3 linked regions of the Callithrix jacchus genome follow. The protein of the gene in region 3 interacts with the protein of the main gene of each other region in a biochemical or structural test. Links are inferred from orthologs where the notes say so. Each region holds a gene or a part of one and is shown on either strand. Other genes may lie near its edges.

Region 1 (7,446 bases), on a different chromosome or scaffold from region 3:
CCCTCCAGATAAAGTCCGAGGGCCGGATTTTTCCACAGGAAGGTGACCGGTGCATTTGTGTCCAAATCAATGGAAAAATGCCTGGGGTGGAGGGGGAGCTTCCTCCTGGGGGAAGGAGGGTGCCTGGGAAAGAGGGAGGCCCCAACCCTCAGCCTGGAGCCAGGGGCCTGGGCCAGCCAGCCCCCCTGTAAGGCCAGCCCCCACCAACCCACCCGGGGCTGGGCATCTTGGCCCCGAGCACTGCCATAGTCTGCCCTCAAGCCCCAGGAACCGAAACAGGTCCCACAGGACCTATGGCCAGGCCTGTGCCCAGGCTCGGCTCCCCACAGGGAATGCCGTCTCCCTGCGAAGATAGCCCCCGGGGCTCAGCTCCAGGCGCAGCTAGCTCCAGGCGAAATGTTTGGGAAAGGGAAAAAGTCAACGTGCAGATCCCCTGCTCCCCCAGAAACTCCAGATCCCACACCTCCGACCCAGGCCCAGGTTCTCAAAGTGGGGCCTGGGAAACCCGTGGATTCAATTCCCTGAAGGGATTTCTTTGAGAGCATGTCAGGATGTCCAGGAAGGCAGGACAGACAGCTTCAGGCTGTGCCTACTGGCCCCCAGGCCTACCAGGCTGCCCCTTCCAGCGGCCACCTAGCCAGAGGTGGAGCAGGCCGAGCCTCAACTTTTCTGGGTCTCCTCGCTGGGAGCAGGTGCAGGGGAAGGAGGAAGTGCTGCCCAGCAGGGCTCCAGAAGGAACAACAGACAGGATCCGTGGGCCTCCCTTATATCTAGGGGGAGGGTGGGCTCACCCTGGAGCCTCCTGGACCCCTTCCTCAAGGCGCTGCCTGCAGAGGTGGCCGGCCCCCTCTCAGGCCTTCCCAGCATGCAGAAGCCACGGACGACTCCCAACACAGACACAGAGCTGGGCACACAGAGACCTGGAATGCCTCTTCCCAGGGTTCCTCGAGCCAACAGGCTGGGGGTTGGGGAGGCGGTGGCTTGTCAGAGTGACCCCTCCATAGTGCAGTGGCTCCGGAGCATCCCGGAGAAGAGGAACGGATCAGGATGCTCTGACTCCTCCCAGTTTAGAACACAGGCTGAGGATGGAAAGAGTGGCCCCCAGTAGCCAACAAGATGGTGTCTGGGGCAGAAAAGGAGCCCCAAAAGGCAGAAGAGACCAAGATTCTGGAGGGGACCAGAGGCAAGATTGTCGTCGAGAGAGGCTCTGGGAGAGGCTAGGGCGGTCCCTGTGGCCCAGCCCACCATACCTTCTTGCTGGCATCAGAGCTGCGGCCGCCCACGTGTGCCCAGTCTGGCTTTGGCTCCCAGGGGTCGTGGGCGGGCGGGAGCCCTCGCTGGGCCATCTCCTCAGTGCAGGTCAGCTGCCGCCGGCGCAGCTCCTCATCCGTCTCCTGGTCCACCACCAGTAGCCGGGTCTGCCCCTCCACAGCCTTGATCCTTTGCACCACCTGGGACAAATGGGTGGTAGGAGTGGGTCAGAGGCCTGCACTCCGGTCCGCACACGGGCAGTGCCACCGCTCTGGGCTGGCCTGGGCATGCGGACAGGCAGCTGGTCTGCATGGGTGGGTGGCTGCACCAAGAGGCCTGCCAGCCCCGCCCCCCACCCCCAGACTCCAGCGGCTCCCTCCCTCTGCCTCTGGGCTCTGGACACTAAAGCCCAGGCTGCCAGGGCTTCAGGGTCCTCCCAGGGCCTTGCTCTTAGCCCTGGGTCTTCTCCAGAGGGGTCAGGAAGGGGCTGCAGGGTACGGCAGCTGGGGAGTCCTGTCCGGAAGTGACAAAGATGGTGCCCAGCTGAGCTTCAGCTTTTCCGTCTTCTCGTGCATGCGTATGCGTGCATCCGTTTCAAAGATTGTATTTCCCTCCGCGTTCGAGGAAGACGAGGGTCTTCCTGGGCCCCAGTTTGGGTGTATCTATGCCCATTCCTGTCACTCTCTGCCACACAGTGCGGGAGTCTAAACCCCTGACCCCAAGCCTTGCATCTGCCTGCAGACCATGACCATGAGCCCATTCCCGTGGGACCTGCGGAGATGGAAGAGCTGGGCTCCTGGCTCAAGGACCCACACATAGCCCGGGAAGCAGGCAGGACTGAGCTGCAGCCGTCGAGGGGGAGGGGCAGGTGCACCTGTGGACAGCTGTGGCATGGCTGTCGGCGTGTGCGTGCAGGTGCCTGTGAAGTATCTGGACCACACAGGGGGCCAGCATGCACCCTCAGAGAGAAAGCAGTGCCCACTGGGCCGTGGGGAGGAGGAGGGGCAGCCCCACTTCCACCTGCTGCCTGTGGGAGGGTAGACAGGGCTCCCTACCAGCTGCCGGGCTCAGCAGGGGTGGTGAACAGATACGAGGGGCCGAGACAGGCCCATCTTCCCACTGGTCCTCCTCTCTCCCCATGAAGAGTGAGGCAAAAGGAACCCAGGGCCCAGCTGTTTCTTGACTATGTGTCCCAGACCAGTCACCCCAAATCACCAGCATCACTTTCTTCTCCTGTCCCATGAGGCTGTAACTGCCCCTCTTGCCCTCCTGGGGCAGAGGGGAGGCTCCGCCATGACCTGTGTGTCCAGTCCTTGAGACCAGCACCCCAGGGGCCTTGGATAAGCAGATGTTCCCAGGGAAAAGGTGGCAGTGACTGTCCCCTCACCCTGCCAGCCACACCTTCGGTCCCTCAGGCCCAGGCCCCCAGCCTGATCCCCACCTTCTTCAGCAAACAACCTTACACAACAGACACTCTGGATGGGAGGCAGGGGCAAGCTGCAGAGGAATGGACAGGTACTGGGTGAACAGGAGACCAGCTCCAGGCCTAGCCATGAGCCAACCTGCTATCTCTTTTTTTATTTGAGGAGTCTCATTCTGTTCCCGAGTCATCTCAGCTCACTGCAATCTCTGCCTCCTTGGTTCAAGCGATTCTCCTGCCTCAGCCTCCCAAGTAGCTGGGACTATAGGCGTGCACCACCACGTCCGGCTACGTTTTTGTATTTGTAGGAGAGTCAGAGTTTCGCCCTGTTAGCCAGGATGGTCTCCATCTCCTGAAATCATGATCTGCCCGCCTTGAGCTCCCAAAGTGCTGGGATTACAGGTGTGAACCACCTCGCCCGGCCCCAACCTACTAATCTCTAGGATCCAGGACCAGCCATGTAGACAGGATTTGCTGGTGCTGTGAGGGACAGGGGACGTGGAGAACAAAGGGTGTGTGGACACTGGACTCCAACCAGGGTCTGGAGTGAGTCCCTGGCCTGTGGGAGACAGACAGACTCAGGGGTCAGAACCCACAGAGAAAAGGCTCTGTTCGCATTGGCCAGGAGGCAGGAGGCTTCAGCCAATGTCCCGAGCCAAGCTAAGCAGCCTCTTAGGAGGGGCAGTGCCTTTGGAGCTAAGGAATGTGATTGCCACCAATGGCCAACTCCCACCTGTCCCAGACACACCTGGCTGGGACACACAAGAGTATGGACACACAGACTCACCAGCCTGCAGACACACAGTGACAAGCATACAGGCCAGGCATGCAGACACACAGGCTCACAGACACACTCATGTTCACACACAGAGTCCAGCGCTCACACGACCAGGAGTCTAAACCTGTACACACACACACACACGTGTGCAGACCTGGATACACGCACACTCCGGCACACACACAGGTGCAGACACACTGATGCCCTTAGCAGTCCCCTCCTGGGTACACACAGGCAGGCGCGTGCACACATGGCTGACCCCAGAGGGACCTGCACACACACACCCAGCTGTGTTCACACACACACGTGTACACACACACCCAGGCAAAAGCACCCAGGTCTCCACCTTCCTTGAGGGGCCCCAGGCTGCCTGACACCCTCCTTCATGGCACACTGAGGCCAAAAGGCAACCAAACGGCGAAGCCAACGGCCAGGAGCCGCAGTGCGGGCCCCTCCCTGCCAGGATACACCCCCACCCCGTGCAAGGCTGAGCTTCCTGCGCCGGGACTGGGAAGGCGCCGGGCCACTGCCTCCCCGCAACGTCCGCGTCCTCCCCGCGGGACCCCCCTCGGGCCCCGTGCGACCCCCGCCCACCCCAGGGAGAAGTGCTCGTGGAGGCGTGGGCGGACCGGGGCAAGCTCGGGCCCCCACCTGGTGGTGCGTCTCGCTCTCCACGTTGACGCCGTTGACCTCGACCAGGCGGTCCCCAGCGCGCAGCGCGGCGGCCTCGGCGGGGGAACCGGGCTCCACGCGCCGGATGAACTGCCCGCGGCGGCCCTTCTCGCCGTGCAGGTGGAAGCCGTAGCCCTGCTCGCCGCGCACCAGGCGGCACAGACGCGGCCGCAGCGGCTCCGGCGCGGCCATGGCGCCCGCTGCCCACCGGCCGCCCGCAGGCAGGGGTGCAGGGGAGCTCGGGGGCTGCGGCGGCGGCTTCGGCAGCTCCCGCTCGGCTCCCGTCGCCTCGGGCTCCGGCTCGGGCTCCGGCTCGGGCTGCGGCACCGCCCCCGCGCCCGCCCCTTCCCCGCCCCCGCCCCCGCCGTCCGGCCGCCCCCGCCCCCGTCCCAGCCATCCCGGACAGGCCCCTGCCTCTGCGCCCTGACAGTCCAAGGGGGTGCGGGGGGAGGCGGCAGGGCCAGGGGACCCCTCTGTCTCGCCCCTACTCTGGACGGCCGCCCGGGTGCCAGCGCCTCTGCCTTCTATTCCAGGAACATTTACTGGAAACCTACTGTATGCGCAGCACCGAGGCAGGTCTTGAGGTGGGTGACGGGTTGGAAAAAGGGTCTCCAGGCCAAAGGACTCCCCCCACAAAGGGGCCAAAGGGTAAGAACGAGGGCCACGGCCCTCCACCCTCCCCAGGTAGCCCTCCCCGACCCCCTTGCCTGTCTCCTCTAGGCTGTGCCTGATCCGGATCCCTCCTGCAGCCAGAGCTGCCCTGGGACAGGGCAGCGGCTCAGGAGGGCCCAGGAGGCAAAAAGAGGGGTTTAAAAGTGACACGCAGCAGCCCCTTTCTGCACCCTGGGGGCCGGTGACTGGGAGACTCCCTGATCTACCCACCGTGTTTCGGCTATCTGCACCAAGTCCATTCCTGAGCCCTCCCCCCATTATTTCCCTTGGCTGGGCCCCCCTCACTTGTGTCCCAGCCCACCCCAGGCCTGGACTGTGACTTTACAGTCACAGGCTCGGATGAGGGTAGGGGAAGGAGTCTCAAAGGTCTCTGCTACCCGCTCCTGACATGGGATACACTGCACTGAAGTGTCTGAGCTCTGAGTTCTGAGTGGTGGCCACTGTCCACAGGCAGACCCCTGTAGGCCTCCCCTCCCCTGGCCCACAGCCTCCACCTGAAGCAGGAGTGTCCCCCTTCCCCAACAGAACAATCACCATCACAACAAAATCATTTATGGCTGAGTGCATTTACCTGGAACAACCCTAGGGGTCTGGCCACTTTACAGATCTGGAAACTGAGGTCTGAAGAGGGAAGAGACCCACAAAGTTTCCTCAGCTCCATTTGGGCCCAGGGATGTGAGATTCAGAGTCCATGCTCTTCCCCACCCAGCTCTTCCTCAGTCTCCAATGTGGGAAGGCAGCTGAGTCCAGGCACAGCCCCAGCTTGCCCTCCTCCCCAGTCCAGCCAGGCCCCCTACACATACCTGGTTCCCAGGAGTTAGGCACAGCCAGCCCAGGCAATTCCCCATGTGGGCAGGAGAAGCAGGCTTGGTGCAGTCCTCCTCTCCCTCTCCTCTCTCCAGTGCCCTCAGCCTAGGCTCCCCTGCCCCCGCCCAAGCACAGGACCCGCCTCTGGGCAGCCTCCTGGGCCATGCCCCCCTGGGTGCCCACATCCCGGCAGCTGCCCCTAAAAGCCACTTAGGCTGAGGCCCCATGGCTGCTCCCTACCCCCACCCCTGCAATTCCTGGCTGAGGCTGCCTCAGGCTCCCGCCCGGCTGGCCACCTCCATCTGTCTGTCTGCATGTCCAGGGGCTGCCTGTCCGGCCTGTGGCTGGCCTCCCTGGACACAGCCTGGTGCTGCCACCCTTGGAGCCTGTGAGGGTGGCTGTGGGCAGTGTGAGCCACCACGCACCCCACACACCACTGCTGGTGGGGCTTAGGGGGTCATCCCACATCAACCAGGGCCACCCAAAACCTGACAGGCTGTAGCTTCAAGGCCACACCAGAGTCAGGAAGGTGGCTGGATGGGAGCCCCCAGCAGGGTAAGGAGTGGGGGTAAGGGGGCTTGCAGACCTTTCCCCCTAGCTGGGGCAGACTCCTGATCAGCCTCGGGCATACATCAGCCTTCCCTGGCCCAGGACTCAGCTGATTCCTCCTCCCAGTGACTGAAGATGGGATGGGGGGCTGGGAGCAGTGGCTCACACCTGTAATCCCAGCACTTTGGGAGGCTGAGGCAAGTGGATCACCTAAGGTCAAGAGTTCAAGACCAGCCTGGCCAACATGGCAAAACCCCATCTCTACTAAAAAGACAAAAAAATTTAGCCATGGTGGCACACACCTGTAATCCCAGCTACTAGGGAGGTTGAGGCAGAAGAATCACTTGAACCCAGGAGGCAGAGGTTGCAGTGAGTCAAGATGGTGCCACTGGACTCCAGCCTCGGTGACAGCGAGACTCTCAGAAAAACAAACAAACAAAAAAACCCAAGGCTGGTGCGGTGGTTCTTACCCGCAATTCCAGAACTTTGGGAGGCGGAGGCGGGTGGATCACCTGACGTTAGGGGTTCGAGGTCAGCCTGGCAAACATGGTGAAACCCCATCTCTACTAAAAATACAAAAATTAGCCAGGTGGGTTGGTGGGTGCCTGTAATCCCAGCTACTCAGGACACTGAGACATGAGAATCACTTGCACCAGGAGGTGGAGGTTACGGTGAGCCAAGATCATGCTACTGCACTCCAGCCTGGAAGACAGAGTGAGACTCCATCTCAAATAATAAGAATGATTTTTTTTTTTTTTTTTTTGAGACGGAGTTTGGCTCGTTACCCAGGCTGGAGTGCAATGGCGCCATCTCGGCTCACCGCAACCTCCGCCTCCTGGGTTCAGGCAATTCTCCTGCCTCAGCCTCCCGAGTAGCTGGGATTACAGGCACGCGCCACCATGCCCAGCTAATTTTTTGATTTTTAGTAGAGACGGGGTTTCACCATGTTGACCAGGAGGGTCTCGACCTCTTGACCTCGTGATCCACCCGCCTCGGCCTCCCAAAGTGCTGGGATTACAGGCTTGAGCCACCGCGCCCGGCCTAATAATGATTTTTAAAAAGATAGGATAGGGAGCAGTGCGATGGAGGGAAGGGCCACCAGGGATGGGAGGTCACAACCGGGGCCAGGAACCAAGGAAGTATCACTGGACACACTGCCACTACAAAGTAACAAAAGGAGTCCCCAAAGCCAAGAAGGAGCTGAGAAGGGCTGAGGAAGGTAACAGAGTTGCAAAGGGCAGGGCAACAAAGGAAGTGGGCCTGGCAAAGGGGCAGCGGGCAGCGGGCAGCGGGATGA
Region 2 (7,362 bases), on a different chromosome or scaffold from region 3:
TAATGGATATTTCTGGGGAAACAGTGGGTTCTCTGGATAAATAAATTAGGGGTTCTTTTTTCTTTTTTTAGAGATAGGGTCTTGCTCTGTCACCCAGGCTGGAGTGCAGTGATGCAATCGTAGCTCACTGCAGCCCTGAACTCCTGGGTTCAAACGATCTTCCTGCTTCACCTTCCCATGTAACTGGGACTACTGATCTATGCCACCAGCCTGGATACTTCCTTTAGTTTAGTGTTGTTTTGTAGAGACAGGTCTTCCTACGTTTCCCAGGCTGCTCTTGAACTCCTGGCCTCAAGCGATCCTCCCACTTCAGCCTCCCAAAAGTGAAACAGGTTGCTGTACTGCAGGACTTTTTGTGGACTCTAATATGGTAGTATGCATTGTGAGTCTCCCAAAGGGGATACCATGTGTGACTGCAGAGATGAAAAATCTTAGCTTCCCACATGGTCTAGACTGTGAAAGCAAAACCAGTCTGATATGAGGCATTAGGGAGTGGTGGTGGCTGTGGACTAGAAGCAGATGCCCAATCCCATAGCATTCTAAGAAGTTTTTAAAACACTCTAGGCAAACAAAACATGAATTCAGGCTGATTCAGCCTGTGTACCATGATTAACCTTGATTTGTTCCTAAAAGTATTTGATCAGAAACAGCCTACTACGTGCTGGGCACTTTTCATGCCTTGGCTTATTCCAAGTGCTACAGTCACATGTCAGCAGTGTCTGAGGAGGAGGCGACCCCAAATGGGAACTGGTTGGGGGGAGAAAAGGTTCTGATGGAGACTGAAGGCCAGAGATGAACTTCCCCTTGACCTTGTTTTGTCTGGGGCTCAGACCCAGTAGTAACTGAGAGCCTTTGTAGCTATAAGAATGAGATGATTTGGCTAAGTCTTTTTAAGAAGAATTCTAGGGCCGTGTATGGTGGCTTACACTTGTAATCCCAGCACTTTGGAAGGCCAAGGTGGGAGGATGGCTTGAGCTCAGGAGTTGGAGACCAGCCTAAGCAACATAGCTATAAAAAATAAATAAATAAATAAAGAATTTAGCCTCCACAAAAAAATAAATAATTTAGCTGGGTGTAGTAGCACATACCTGTAGTTCCAGCTACTTTGGAGGCTAAGGCAGGAGGATTGCTTGAGCCCAGGTAGTAGAGGCTGCAGTGAGCCACGATCATGCTACTGCATTGCAGTCTGGGTCACAGAGCAAGACCCTGACTCCAAAAAATAAAAGGAATGCCATCAGGAGGTCTCCTGGTATGATGCTGTGTTTTCCAGCTTTCTTCTGTGCCCCTTATGGGAATGGAGCCTGTCTGTGCAGGGAGTGTGTACCCTGAGAGAACAGGAAATAACACGGTGGGGGGCTGCATCCTGGTGGGCTTGCTGTGGCTGGCAGCAGCTCCAGGAGTGGGGTGGTGGTCCCAAATCAAAGAGCAATTCAGGGACAGAAGTCAGATGCAGAAGAGTGAGGGTGTGAGTGGATATGCACAGGGACAGCACGAGGCAGCGGGCAGAAAGAGTCCTGGAAGGGTACCTGGTGTTCCCACTACTCCAGGACTCCTCCCTTCAGAACACGTTTTTTTTCTCTCTCTCTCTTCTTTTTTTCGGTTTCCTGTTTGGCTCAAAACTAGATGCACCTACCTGATGGGAGAGCCCAGCCAGTTTCCCCTGAGTCAAGGTAGGTTGAGTGGAGCTTTGTTGGTATTTTGGGAGACTGGGAGGATTTTCTGGGGTGTCTCTCATGATTCATTTCTAAATTCAAAGTTAAATCCTCAAAAAATTGTGTAGAAATAATACACAACAGCTGTTGTGTTTGAGTGCATGCTATGTGCTAAGCCCTATGCATTCTGTGTAGTAGAGTAACCTAAGAGGGTGGGTATAATTATGATGTGCCTATACTCAGTAAGCACTCAATAATTCTTAGCTATTATTATTGTTACTTTACAAATGAGAAAACTGAGGCTCAGAGAGCTTAAGGTTAAACATCAAGTAACAATGCTGGGATTGACTGCAAAGACCATGTTCTGTCCACTCTGCATTCATTCAGTATTTATTAAGTGCCTACTGTGTGCCAAGCATAGAGCTAGGCTTTGAGAATGCAGCAGTGAATAGTACAGACTTGCTTCCTCATCTCATGGGCATGGTAACTGAAGATTTAGCCAAACCTGATAAACTGCTGAAGTGTGCAATGCAGAGGCTGCCTTGGGAACTTGCACCAGTGTCTCCAGCAGGGAGGCTTTTGGAGGAGCTGGGCTCAGGCTGACCCTGGAAGGGTAATGAGCTATAGTTCCCAAGTCAAAATCCATTGCCTAAAGGCCTGGCATGAAGAAGGACATTTTGTTCAGTTCTTGCATGACTTTGAGAAGGTCTTTTCCCATGCTGAGCCTCAGTTTTTCATCTGTAAATTGGGCTTAGTTCTCTAAAGGGCATGGGGGGGATGCAAATGGTGCCGTGGACAATGGGATCACTGGATGAATGAAATGGGTCTGTGGTGGGTATGAGGTCCTGTGGCAAGTCACTGTTTCTCTTCCGTTCCTCGTCATATGTGTCCTCTCCATTTGGCTCTACCCTTGAGCAGTGGCCAACCCAAAGGAGTGTTTGGGGAGCAGTTTGATGCCAAGAACAAGCTGACGTGCTCCATCTGCCTGAAGGAGTTCAAGAACCTGCCTGCCCTGAACGGCCACATGCGGTCCCATGGGGGAATGAGGGCCTCCCCCAACCTCAAACAGGTTAGCAGGAGCCAATCCCTGGTCCTTTCTAGGCCATGTGCTGCTTGCTTTGCTTTGCTGCTGTCAGAGAGTGATGTGAGCCCCACGCGGGACATGGCGACACACCGTCCTCCCTTGACAGGAATGCTTAGGCTCTGAGGCTGGAAGCCAGCCAGGTCAAAGAGCCCCACTTCCCCAGTGTTACAGTGAGCAAGGTCAAAAATAGGCGCTAGAAAGCCTTTTAGGGCATCCCAGCCTCTCTCTCTGCCTCCTAGAGAAGACAGCAAAGGAAAACATGTAAATGCAATATTGTTTTTAAACTTCTGCTGCTTGACACACCCAAGACTGGGGCCACTGGGGCCTTGCAGATTAGTGGTCAACGGCCAGAGAGAGCTAATACAACCAGCAGGCTCTCTGCCAGAATTTTCTGTTTACTGATGCAGTGGTGTTTGGCTCAACATCCAAAGATCCTTAAATACCCTCCAGATTATCCAAGGTAGGGTACCCAGATAGTAAACTATCCACAAGTTTTAGAGTTAGAGTAAAATTAAAAAAAAAAATTCTCAGAATTCTTTGAATATTGTTACTTTTAATTTAAATCTATGGGATTAAATCTCTGTTGACCAGAATTTTTGATTACCCAGATCACTCCATCTCCTGGCCATGCCAGATTATGTTTTTTAAAAAAGCTTTTGTTTTTACTTATTAAAAGTACATGTTTTGGGTCGGGCATGGTGGCTCACACCTGTAATCCCAGCACTTTGGGAGGCTGAGGCAGGTGGATCACCCGAGGTTGGGAGTTCAAGAGCAGCCTGACCAACGTGGAGAAACCCCATCTCTACTAAAAATACAAAAAAATTGCCAGGCGTGGTGGTGCATGCGTGTAATCCCAGCTACTCAGAAGGCTGATGTGAGAGAATCCCTTGAACTCAGGAGGTGGAGGTTGCGATGAGCCAAGATTGTGCCATTGCACTCCAGCCTGGGCAACGAGAGTGAAACTCCATCTCGAAAAAACAAAAAAATACATATTTTGTATCTCCAGTGTGGTTTCCTGACCTGAATAAAATTTAGGATGGAATGCCTACTTCCATTTGACAAATGAATAAACTAAGGCCCACAGAATTAAAAACTGCACAAGATCCTACCTTTTTTGGACTGATGACAAGTTCGTGTCCTTTCCTTTAAAAGCAATGACAACCACATAATTTTTAAAAATTGCCTAATACACAAGTAATAAAATGGTCAAGATTTTTTAGCTGTAGAAAATGGAGGCCACGGCCTCCTCTACCATCAGCTGGCATCACTCCATCCAAGGGACTCAGGATTGCAGGAAGGAAATCGCCCTGCAGTGGTTATCACCCATACCTGATGTCCTGGAATCCTTCAGGAAAAGCAAAGTGCATCCCCTTTGTGAGAGCTTCTCTCAGCCCAGGATCAAAGCCTTTATTGTCTGTGTAGGAGGAAGGAGAGAAGGTCCTGCCGCCTCAGCCCCAGCCGCCACTGCCGCCTCCGCCTCCGCCTCCGCCGCCGCCACAGCTCCCTCCCGAGGCAGAAAGCCTCACGCCTATGGTCATGCCTGTGTCTGTCCCTGTCAAGCTTCTCCCGCCCAAGCCCAGCTCTCAGGGGTTCACCAACAGCACCGTTGCCGCCCCCTCCGTCAGAGACAAGCCAGCCAGCTCGATGTCGGACGACGAGATGCCTGTGCTCGTGAGGATGACCCTCTCTCCCCCACACTCACCCCAAGGGGCTGCCCCCCGCACGCCTGCTGTGAGTTGCTGCTCTGCCCCACCTGCCTGGGTGGGGACATCCCTTTGCTTTCTTAGAGATGGGGCAGCCCTTCCAGAGTCACTGACCTGAGCTCAACATGGCTTGGCCTCTCAGGGCCGAACCCCTGTGGCCATGGTGGGAACCCCATCCTTGATGCCAGACTAATGGCCTGGGTTAGGTTCTGAGAGACCCTAAAGTGTTCCCAGATCACCAGAGATGATCATTCAGCTGGGACTCACTGGGACAATCATCGCCGTTATTGAAATACGGAAGTACCGTATACCAAAAAATAAGCAGCTTGCCCAGGCCTTGGCCCCTTCCCCAGGATCTCCAGACCTCCCATATCCACTACCAAAGAGGTAAACACTGGCGCGGCAGGCTTCCGCGCAATGGCCCTGGCATCCATTCTGACAATCAGCCTTACCAGATGCTTATTATTTTGTCTGCTTAAATCCCCTGGAGAGCCTAATTTGTTAAAGTTCCCAAAGTAGTTCCACTAAGAGCCACCCACCCCTAGTCTCAGGAAAGCAAAGAGATTTGTTTTTCTCACTCACTGTTCTCCTTTCTCCAATCCTAAGTGCTTCACTCAAAGAGCTTAACTTGGCTCTGGGAAGGGTTTCTTTGTCTGTGGTCTGTCTCTCTCTCTCTCTCTGTCTGTCTGTCTCTTGGACCCTAGGGAATTTATGATCTGTGTGGTTGACAATATCAAACCTATCTCCCCACAGAGTGGTGTGTTGGGGTCATATTTGTCCTTAGGAATAGGCAGCTGCTGAGAGTCCAGGGGGCATAGGGTGAGGCTGGGCCAGGATACAGGGAGAGAGGATAATTAATAGAACTAGAACAGTCCAGAAAAAAACCTTTATGATTCTCTGTGTTAATATCAAGTCCTCAAAAGAAGAGAAACTGATGGAGAACTGGGGGGGGGGGGGAGATTCTCATAAGCTGTCAGGACTTGGGGGGCCAGCCACAGGCAGAGAGATGAAATGACACATCCAAGCTCCCTCTTTGCCCAGGGGAGTTCGTGATTTGGTGGGAGAAACACTATTTCCCTCCTTGGGGAACTCTCAGTTAAGGGTTCATAATCACATGGGGGTCAGAGTCCCAGGCACACCCCCTGCCACCATCACCCATTCAAGATGGTGAGAAAAAGACAGGGGCAGACAAGAAACGGATGCAGCAGGTGTGACTGGATGGGAATATACTTGGGTGGCGAAAGTCATTATGGACCGAGGAGGGGCAAGGGAGTTTGCTCAGGAGATCATCATTAGGGTTCTGAGCAGGATTTGGAAGGAAAGGATGATCTTGACTTAATGGACGGGTGAGAGAGACCTGTCGGTTGGGGGGATTGTGAATTGGATACGTGTAGGTGGGACTGAATACTTGTGAACAAGGTCCTGGCACTTGGTGTAAAGAAATTAAAACATCCAGGACAGAGCCCTGAGTGCCCATCCCAGCTTGGCTTCTAGCCAGCTCCTCAGTGGTTCTCATCCTTCTCTGTGGACAGCTTTTTAAAGATTTCAGTGCTTGGTCTCACCCTCAAAGTGTCCAGATAGTTTGGTGGGGTGGAACACTATGCTTCCTCTCAAGTGGCAACCAGGCATGACATTCTAGGTGGCTTCTGTGGCCCAGTGGCTCAGAGCCTTTACCTGGAGGATCAGAAAATCCAGGTTTAGGCCAGGCGTGGTGACTCACACCTGTAATCCCAGCACTTTGGGAGGCTGAGGCGGGTGAATCACCAGGTCAGGAGTTCAAGACCAGACTGGCCAAGATGGTGAAGCCCCATCTCTACTAAAAATACAAAAATTAGCTGGGCATGGTGGTGGGCGCCTGTAATCCCAGCTACTCTGGAGGCTGAGGCAGAGAATGCTTGAACCCGGGAGGCGGAGGTTTCAGTGAGGTGAGATCACACCACACCACTGCACTCCAGGCTGGGCAACAGAGACTCCATCTCAAAAAAAATTCCAGGGTTAGAGCTGCAGTAACAGGACAAGAAGCTGGAGGAGTGGGAGCCCCAAAGGGACCTCTGGCCCTGTAATCAGAGGTCTGGATTGCAGTGCTGCGTTAAGATAGCTTGAGGTCTACATGTTCTTAGATGACCTCATCTGTTACCCAGAAACAGGGTAGGCTGTAACTTCAGGGCTGCTTTCCTTATCCGGGCAACAGCCTCCTTCCCCCATTCTCAGCCCCTCTCCCGCCTCAACCTCAGGCGCTGAGGAGCCCTCTGGTGGAGAGAGGAGGCAGTTGAGCGCGCTAGCCTAAGGAGTGCCCCCTGGGGGTGAGGTAGGGGGTTAGAAACCTCACTCTGGAGCTGGGAGCCTAGAACCCTCTGCCTCCCTAGACTCCCCCTCCTAGAGACCAGGATGGCACCATGGAAGGCAAGGAAGCTGAGGGAGAAACAGAAGGCGCCAAAACCTTGGCGCTCTGGAGGGAGAGGAGACCAGAGCAGAGACCAGAGCTTTGATGCTCTGGAGGGAGAGGAGACCAGAGCAGAGGAGCCCATGGGGCAGGTCACATGGCCTGGAGGCAGCTGGTCACATGACCGTGGCCAGCCCTTCCCATCACCCCCTGCTGCTTCCTACCCAGGCGCCACCCTGGGCTCAGGACTCTCCAGGACCTGCAGCTTTGACTGGCCCCTGGCCTGCAGGGCCTGAGAGGGCACACCAGACTGTCTAGAACCTTCTTCCCTCAGGTATCCCCGTGGCCCCTTCCAACCACACCGCCTGTGCAGCCACACGCAGCTCTCAACTTTTCTGGGCTGATGCTACCACACAACCCGAGTCTGTTTCCGGTTTGGCTTTGGCATGCCCTGCTCATCTGTTGACGTGCATATGTTTACTTATTAGTATATATGTATCCATGTGGCAGATCCTCCTTCCAGACTATGCTTGGTTCCGC
Region 3 (7,462 bases):
AGCGAAACTCCATCTCAAAAAAAAAAAAAAAATCTAAAAATCTGTATTTCCCATTACATTTTTTGGGGAAAAATTGGTAAGTTACATCAAGCTTCAGTTGAAGTGCTTATCATTTCACAATTTAAAATACTGTAAAATTAGACTCCCCAAAAAGCCCTACTTATTTTGTAGTTTTCTACCAATAAAATATTTATTTAAAAAGATACAAGTAGCACCATACATATTCCATAAGGTGCTGCTAGTCCTGTAATTTCCAGAATTTGAAAATCTTCATGGTATTCTTTCTGTTTAGTGCTAGGCTAATTAACAGGAGTTTGGCACAAGCTCAAAATGAGAAATACCAAACTTCCACAAATGAAAAGATTATAGAGAGGTTCAGAACCAAGACTCAATAAAGCTTTCAAAATATTATCCATGCTAACAAACGTATTTAGATCATACCAAACTAAAAAACATATATGGAAGATATAACAGAGCTTAACATAAATATTAAGTAAAACATAAAAACAAATAATATTCTATATCTTGACACTGCTTTACTATCTTTTCCAATACATATTTTTCTTAGATAATTGTCTCCCACCATTATTTTCACTTACTTTAAGAAGTATCTTTGACCAGAAGATGTCTTTGCCATCTCCCAACCTGCTGGCAGAGGTACATCATCAGGTATCTCAAAAGAAGACTGTCGAAGATGCTGCGCTGTGGGTGTAGCTGCTGGGCCAGACACTACTCCAGTGGGGGTCAGTGTCCCAGGAGAAACAGCTCCCAACTGCAGAGAAGCTGGAGAGGAATGAGCTCGAACATGCTGTGGAGTCAGGGCTCCTGCAGTGCCTGCATCAGTACTGGCCTATTAGGAATATTAACATGAAAAATTAAGAAAAAAAAAAAAACTTTTTTGAGAGTCCCTTTAAATTTCCCAGTCAGTGCTTAATTGCAGCCAAATGTCTAAGAACCAAAGGAAAATTTCAACATTTAATATTTGACACCAGAGAGCACAGGTTTTCAAATGGATACTTTTAATATATAATTTTAATATAAACTTTATAAATATTTGTAGTTTTATTGATGAGCAGTCCATCTAATGAATTTCCACCTACTATACACTAGACATGTAAAGGCAACTAGTACTGAAACAAATAAAACATTCCAAAAATAATAGTAAATTTTAAAACCTAATTTTTAAAAGGTCAATGCAATATGGGTGCTTTTCCAAGTCCTAAAATATTCTAAGGATAAACACAACACAAATAATATGCATGTTTTACTAGGTTTTAGGTAATTCATTTTTTTTCCCTAGGTCAAGGCCAAGTAAGAACAAACCCTTGTCATTTTTTCCCATCATAAAATGCCAACAATAAAGAAATCGTAACAAATTACACAATTTGTAATGAAATCGACAAACTTGAACTGCCCAAATGTTCTTAAAAGCCATCTACAATGAACATGATGGAAAAAAAACTGTATCTTTGTATGTAGAAGATAAAGATGTTATGAGTCCAATTATAACTTAATAACTGACACACATCCACAACTCTTTATGAGCAGAAACAATTCCGCACTCCAAGTTGGCTAGTGTGACACTGAACAAATACCTTAACTTCCATATGCCTGTTTTCTCGTTTGTAAAACAGTTTTCATGACAAAAATGGATGTACATAAAACTTAGTCACCAGTTTGTGAATAATAGTATTTGCAACCTAGATTTGTTCTACTCCTAATCTTGCATATCTAAATTTTAAAAATTAGAATTAGAGTTTGATTACCAAAAAGTTAAGAATTTCCTAGATTCACAAAGGTAAGGAAACTGGAAGGACTTAGTAGAGTCATATCCATGCCTTTAAGTGATGGACCTTTCTTTGTTTCCCATCAGAAAAAGTGTGATTTAGGAAATCGTTAGCAGAAATAAAAGTCGAATTTACAGATGCACAACACTTAAAAACTTATTAAAAATAAAACTATAATACTCTGAATTTTAGAACTGCTGGATAGAAATTCACGTAAAAATTACTAGAAGAAAAAGTACACTTTCCAGTTATGATTCTTTGTGGCTGATAGATGCCACAAAATGGGGGATTCAATCTATGTCTATTATACTTTGAAAATACACTGTCTGTAAGGTGCATGCCAACATGTATTTACCCATAATGAGTCCATAAACCCACTTTCAGGGGTATGAGAAAAAAGCACACCTAAGTCTACTTCTGACAAATTGAAGTGTTTAGGCAAGAAGCTAAATTGTTTTTCCTTCCTCCTCCTTAACCCGGGTTTTTGTCATCAGGTTAAGTGAGCTTTTCTGAGTTCCAAAACCCGACAGGAGAATATACAACAGGCCTGCAAATAGGAGAGGGAATGGGAGTGGGGGCGGTAACTCTTTCCACTCAAGTTACAGTCCGAGTCGGCTAACTACACTGCAGTATTTGGAAAATCTATTAACTTTTGGGCAAAGTTCCTATGCTCAAGTTTAGCCTCAAGCAAGTTCTTTCTAAAAAAAAAGGAAAGAAAAAGAACCCTAAACAAATCCACGGGGACCTATCGGAATGTTAACACTTTCATTATAAATAGTTTCACTTCTATGCTGAATCAAGTTGGCAAAATGATCGAACGTTGTGTATGTGGAAAAGCAGCCATGTTCATATCCGCAATAAGAATTATAAAGCAATGGCGATTCCAGAATTAGTCATCGCTTCCCAAACATTAACTTTTAATCACAGTTGAACTAGGCAGGACTTGGCCTATGGGTCAACCTGCAGTGTATTATCAAAGGCTTGTGTTAAAACGTCGGTACAGTAAAGTGCAACTCAGTTCCTGCGCAACGTACAGATGTGGCTAATTTAAAAGCGTTTCAGCCGACTGTAAATAATAGTCTACAATTGGGAAACCAACACGCAACCTACTAAGTTTGATAAGAGCGAGCCGGCCCAAGTTCCAAGACACAAGGGAAGCACAGGGGGGTGTGAAAGAACTCCATAAACAACTTCCAGGAAAGTCTGGGCAGGGAAAGCCCGAAACCTGTGTTCTAAAAGCGCTTGAGCCTCGAAGAAAATAAAAGCTTACGGGAGGGGGAGGGGAAACGGGGGGGGGAAGAGCGAGCAAAAAAACTAAATGGACCGGTTCAACCCCCACCCCTAATCAACATTGGAAAACAAGAGAACAATTATTTGACTCCCCAGGAGACTGAAGTGGACCGAGAGGCCCCAAAGGAAAGGGGCCCAGGGCTCAACTTCAGAAACTCGGCCGCCGCTGGCAACTCACCCACACACAAATGCCAGAGGCCCCCCTCCCCCTTTCCCGGCCCGGCCCCGGCGGGAGCGAAGTTGCGGAGCGCGCGGAGGCGCGCGCATTGTGCAAGCCCACCGCGGCCCAGGCCCGGCTCTCCCCACCCCCTTCCTTCCTCCCCACACCCCCGCCACTCCCGCCAACCTCCCGGGAACCCCGGGAAGAAAGAAAGGAAGGAAGAGGGAAAGCACGCCCGCCGGGGCTGCAACCGCAGAGAGAAACTCAGAGGGGAAAAACAAATCTCAGCCCCGGACTCTGGGAAGAGTAGGGAGCCGGTCACCGCAGCCAAGGGGACGCCTCCAGTTCCTCCACTTCGCCGCGAGACCCCCACCCAAGACCTCCCGCAACCCCCCCTCCCCTGGCTAGAGCTGGCGGCCGCGACTCCCGAGCGCCCCCCAGCCTGGGGCCCGCCCGACGGGGAAGCTGGGAGAGGGGCGGCGAGGTTACCTGTCGGGAGTGGGATTTAGGCTCAGGAGGCTTGAAGAAGGAGTCGGGCAGCTTCCGGAGCCTCATGGGCACTGTCTGGGGCACGTTGGCCGTCTTGGGGTTCATGACGGCGTTGAAGAGCGCCTCCAAGTCGGTCTCTGAGTCCCCGCGGACGTGCACGATCTGATGCCCGGCGGGGGGTGCCTGTGACGCCGCCTGGGTCGCCGCGGGTGCCGGCTGCCCGGGTGCGGACGACGGGCCCTGCCCTTGAGGCTGCGCAGGCGGCTGCCCTTGGCCCTGGGGGGCCGCTTGAGGCGGCGGCTGCTGCCCAGGATCCATGGCTTCTGCCTCCCCCGATGCGCACCCCCGGACCAGGCGAGCGAAGGCTCCGCCCGGACGCCCCGGCTCCACGGGCCGAGGTGGAGAAACGGCGAGGGCTGCGGGCTGGGCGGTGGGAGCGGCGCTCTCCTAGCTCTCAGGGCCGGGGGACTGTGCTGCGGCCCCGCATCCCCTGCGCCCCGGCTCCACTGGTCTGGTGGCTGCGCCTCGGGAGGGGCTGCGAGGGACTCGGACCTGCGGCGCCTGAGAACTTTTTCCCTCCAACTCCCTTGACTGAGGCCGGACGGCTGGTTGCCTTTCCCCTCCTCCCCGTTTCTCTTTTATTTCCTTTTCTTGTTCCTTCCTTCCTCCCTTTCTTTTCCCTGGCGGCGGCTGCGCCCGACTGAGACAGAAACTCGCCTCAGACGCCAAAACTAAAGTTGGGAGAAGCGCCCGCCCGCGCCGCCGCGGCCCCGCCTCCCGGCTCTTCCTTCCTCTGCGCGCCCGCCCGCACCGCGGCCCAGTCTGCCGCGCAGGGAAACTTTTCGCTGCAAGTTGCTACATTCCTGCACACTCCCGGCCCGCGGCGCCGCTCCCGGCCGCACGTGACTCGCCCACCCGGGCCCAGTCCGCCCTCCGCTCGCGCTCTGCCGGGCAGGGGCCCGGAGCGTGCCCTGTGTTCCGCCTCGCGAACCACAAACGCTGAGTCCAATCTGGGTCCAAACTGTAGTCTCTGCGGAGAAGGCGGCCGCCCTTGGCCGCAGGAAGTCCTTCCGCCCCGCTCGGCCCCTTCTTCGCCCGGGCTCGGGAAAGGCGCTTCCAGCTCGCCGGGACCTGCGAAAGGGCCAAGGTCGAAAGAAGTGGAGAGAGGATGTGCGAACCCACCTCCACGCGTTACCCCGGTTCGACCGAGCGGAGCGCCAGTGCGGGCTTCAAGCCGGGAGCATAGCTTGGAGTTAAAATAGATACTGTGAGGCGGCGCTAATGTTAATAAAGGTCCTTTTTTTTTTTCAGCATTAACTTTATTTTGTAATTCTGTTTCATTTATGTGTTGGTATGCAAAAACTCACTTGGAAAGGATAAATGGTTACTGAAATTGAAGCTTTGAGACTGGGTCTGTGACTCCCTGTAACTTATTAAAAGAAACAAAAACACTGCGTATTTTTCTCAGTATTTTTCTAAATACTGAAATCACATCAACTTTTTTAGTACTCGAATTTGCAGCATAGTCACTGGAAGCCTCAACCCAAAAAATCAGTGCTTCTTCAGGTACAAGCATTCATTCCTCTTTACCTGTCTTTCATCCTCTGGGAGCTGGGTCCTACCCCTGCTATCCCTGTGCCTGGCCCAACAGTGGACTCTGTGAATGTGGACTGAATAAGAAATGAATGGGCAAGGAGGTCACCGCAGGCACGCGATGTGCAAGGAGCTCATTGGAAACCACTCAAAAACAATGGAAATGTGTGTTTTAAGTCACACTCTCGGGTTTTTTTTTAAAGCATCTTTATTGGCTGGTCCAAGTGCAGTGGTGTTTACAACTAATTGATCGCAACCAGTTACAGATTTCTTTGTTCCTTCTCCACTCCCACTGCTTCACTTGACTAGCCTCAAGAAAAAGAAAAAAAAAGTCTTTATTGAGATGTAATTCATATACCATAAAATGTTAAGTAATATTTGTACATATTTGTATATTTAAGCATTGAATTTTTTTTAGTATATTCATAGGATTGTGCAACATCAGTCTAAATTTAAATGCTCTAGCCCATTCTAAGGAAATGTGACTTTCTTGTTTTAATGATTTGTCTACAATGCTAGTGAAAGAGGTATAAAGAGGATTAAGCAAGGAAAAAGTCCGTGAGCAAAAAGATAATCTCTTCCTCCAGCCAGAACATGCCCGGTAGAATTCTGAAGGATCCGTATCACCTGGTGTGGTTGGGCTGGGCCAGGGTAGCAGGTTTCAGACACTCAAAATTCTAACAGAAGATTCCAGTCAACTACTCTGAACCCCCAGTTTCCTGTCTGAAAAAAGGGATCAGTGTAAATGACACCGATGACTGCTTCCCGGATTTGTTTCTACTTCCAAATGTCAAGTGCATTTAATGACAAATCTCTAGGTTCTGGAGTTACAGAGTTTTGAGTTCAGGTCCCAGTTCTGCCATTTACTAGCTGTGAGATTTTGGACAACTTACTTAATTCCTGTTCTTTAATATTAGCATTGGGGTAATAACACCTACATAGTTGTTGAGGCATTAAATGAGTCAGTGGATATAAAGTATTTAGCCCAGTTTGGGACATGCAGTGTCCTGCACCAGTGAGTTCTGCATCAGTGTCAGTGGTCATTGTCCTGTGTTCACAGATTACTTCACGGATAGTGACATAGCCTTTCCTTGCAGCAGCTCTCTCTTTCTAAGCACAGCCTTAGGGACCCTTTTGGCAGTCCCTTCCTCTCTTATCCAATAATAAGTCTACACAAACAAAACCTTTAGGCAGAAACTATGCATTAAAAACTTTGCCTGAAAGAAAACTTTAGGAACCAAAGTGGGCCGGATATGGTGGTTCATGCCTGTAGTCCCAGCACTTTGGGAGGCCAAGGCAAGCAGATCACCTGAGGTCAGGAGTTTGAGACCAGTCTGGCCAAAATGGTAAACCTTGTCTCTATTAAAAAAACAAAAATTAGCCAGGTGTGCTGGCATGTGCCTAGAGTCCCAGCTACTCAGGCAGCTGAGGCATGAGAATCACTTGAACCCAGGAGGTGGAGATTGCAGTGAGCTGAGATCACACCACTGCACTTCAGCCTGGGTAACACAGCAAGACCCTGTCTCAAAAAAAGAATCAAAGTGATTGAAAACCTGGGATTGAAATGGATGGCCGGGAGCGGTGGCTCAAGCCTGTAATCCCAGCACTTTGGGAGGCCGAGGCGGGTGGATCACCAGGTCAAGAGATCAAGACCATCCTGGTCAACATAGTGAAACCCCGTCTCTACTAAAAATACAAAAAATTAGCTGGGCATGGTGGCGTGTGTCTGTAATCCCAGCTACTCAGGAGGCTGAGGCAGGAGAATTGCCTGAACCCAGGAGGCGGAGGTTACGATGAACTGAGATCGCGCCATTGCACTCCAGCCTGGGTAACAAGAGCGAAACTCCGTCTCAAAAATAAAAAGAAAAGAAATGGATGTTGTCCCTTTACTAGAGCATTTACTACTACAAACACTAACTAAAGGGCTTAAGATATAGCAGAGGCTGCTTTGTTTAATATTGTTTTACCTGCCATTAAAATGAGGACAAAATTACTTTGATAAGTGGAGCGAAAGGCTCTTTGGAATGACTATGTTCTGTAAGCACTTCTGTATCATCAACCACAATTTTGTAACTTACTATTCTTCGTTTATACAATTTCAGTCACAGGGTAGTAGGGGATAAAGATAACATATTCAATCCTT

The links.
Region 1: the proteins of YAP1 (region 3) and NHERF2 form a complex in vitro, tested with the Homo sapiens proteins (2 studies listed by IntAct, with this or other methods). The link is inferred for Callithrix jacchus from reciprocal best matches to the Homo sapiens genes YAP1 and NHERF2.
Region 2: the proteins of YAP1 (region 3) and TRERF1 interact in a test that uses a peptide from one of them, tested with the Homo sapiens proteins (2 studies listed by BioGRID and IntAct, with this or other methods). The link is inferred for Callithrix jacchus from reciprocal best matches to the Homo sapiens genes YAP1 and TRERF1.

The regions. Positions count from the first base shown.
Region 1 is NC_133513.1:4,725,043-4,732,488, forward strand, and holds the start of NHERF2 (Na(+)/H(+) exchange regulatory cofactor NHE-RF2), read right to left. Parts: upstream 4,432-7,446; 5' UTR 4,314-4,431; coding exon 4,101-4,313; intron 1,452-4,100; coding exon 1,251-1,451; intron 1-1,250.
Region 2 is NC_133505.1:50,774,527-50,781,888, reverse strand, and holds part of TRERF1 (transcriptional-regulating factor 1), read left to right. Parts: intron 1-1,623; coding exon 1,624-1,670; intron 1,671-2,570; coding exon 2,571-2,721; intron 2,722-4,158; coding exon 4,159-4,467; intron 4,468-7,362.
Region 3 is NC_133511.1:37,538,435-37,545,896, forward strand, and holds the start of YAP1 (transcriptional coactivator YAP1), read right to left. Parts: upstream 4,429-7,462; 5' UTR 4,045-4,428; coding exon 3,727-4,044; intron 851-3,726; coding exon 600-850; intron 1-599. UniProt on the Homo sapiens protein: Transcriptional regulator with dual roles as a coactivator and corepressor. Critical downstream regulatory target in the Hippo signaling pathway, crucial for organ size control and tumor suppression by restricting proliferation and promoting apoptosis.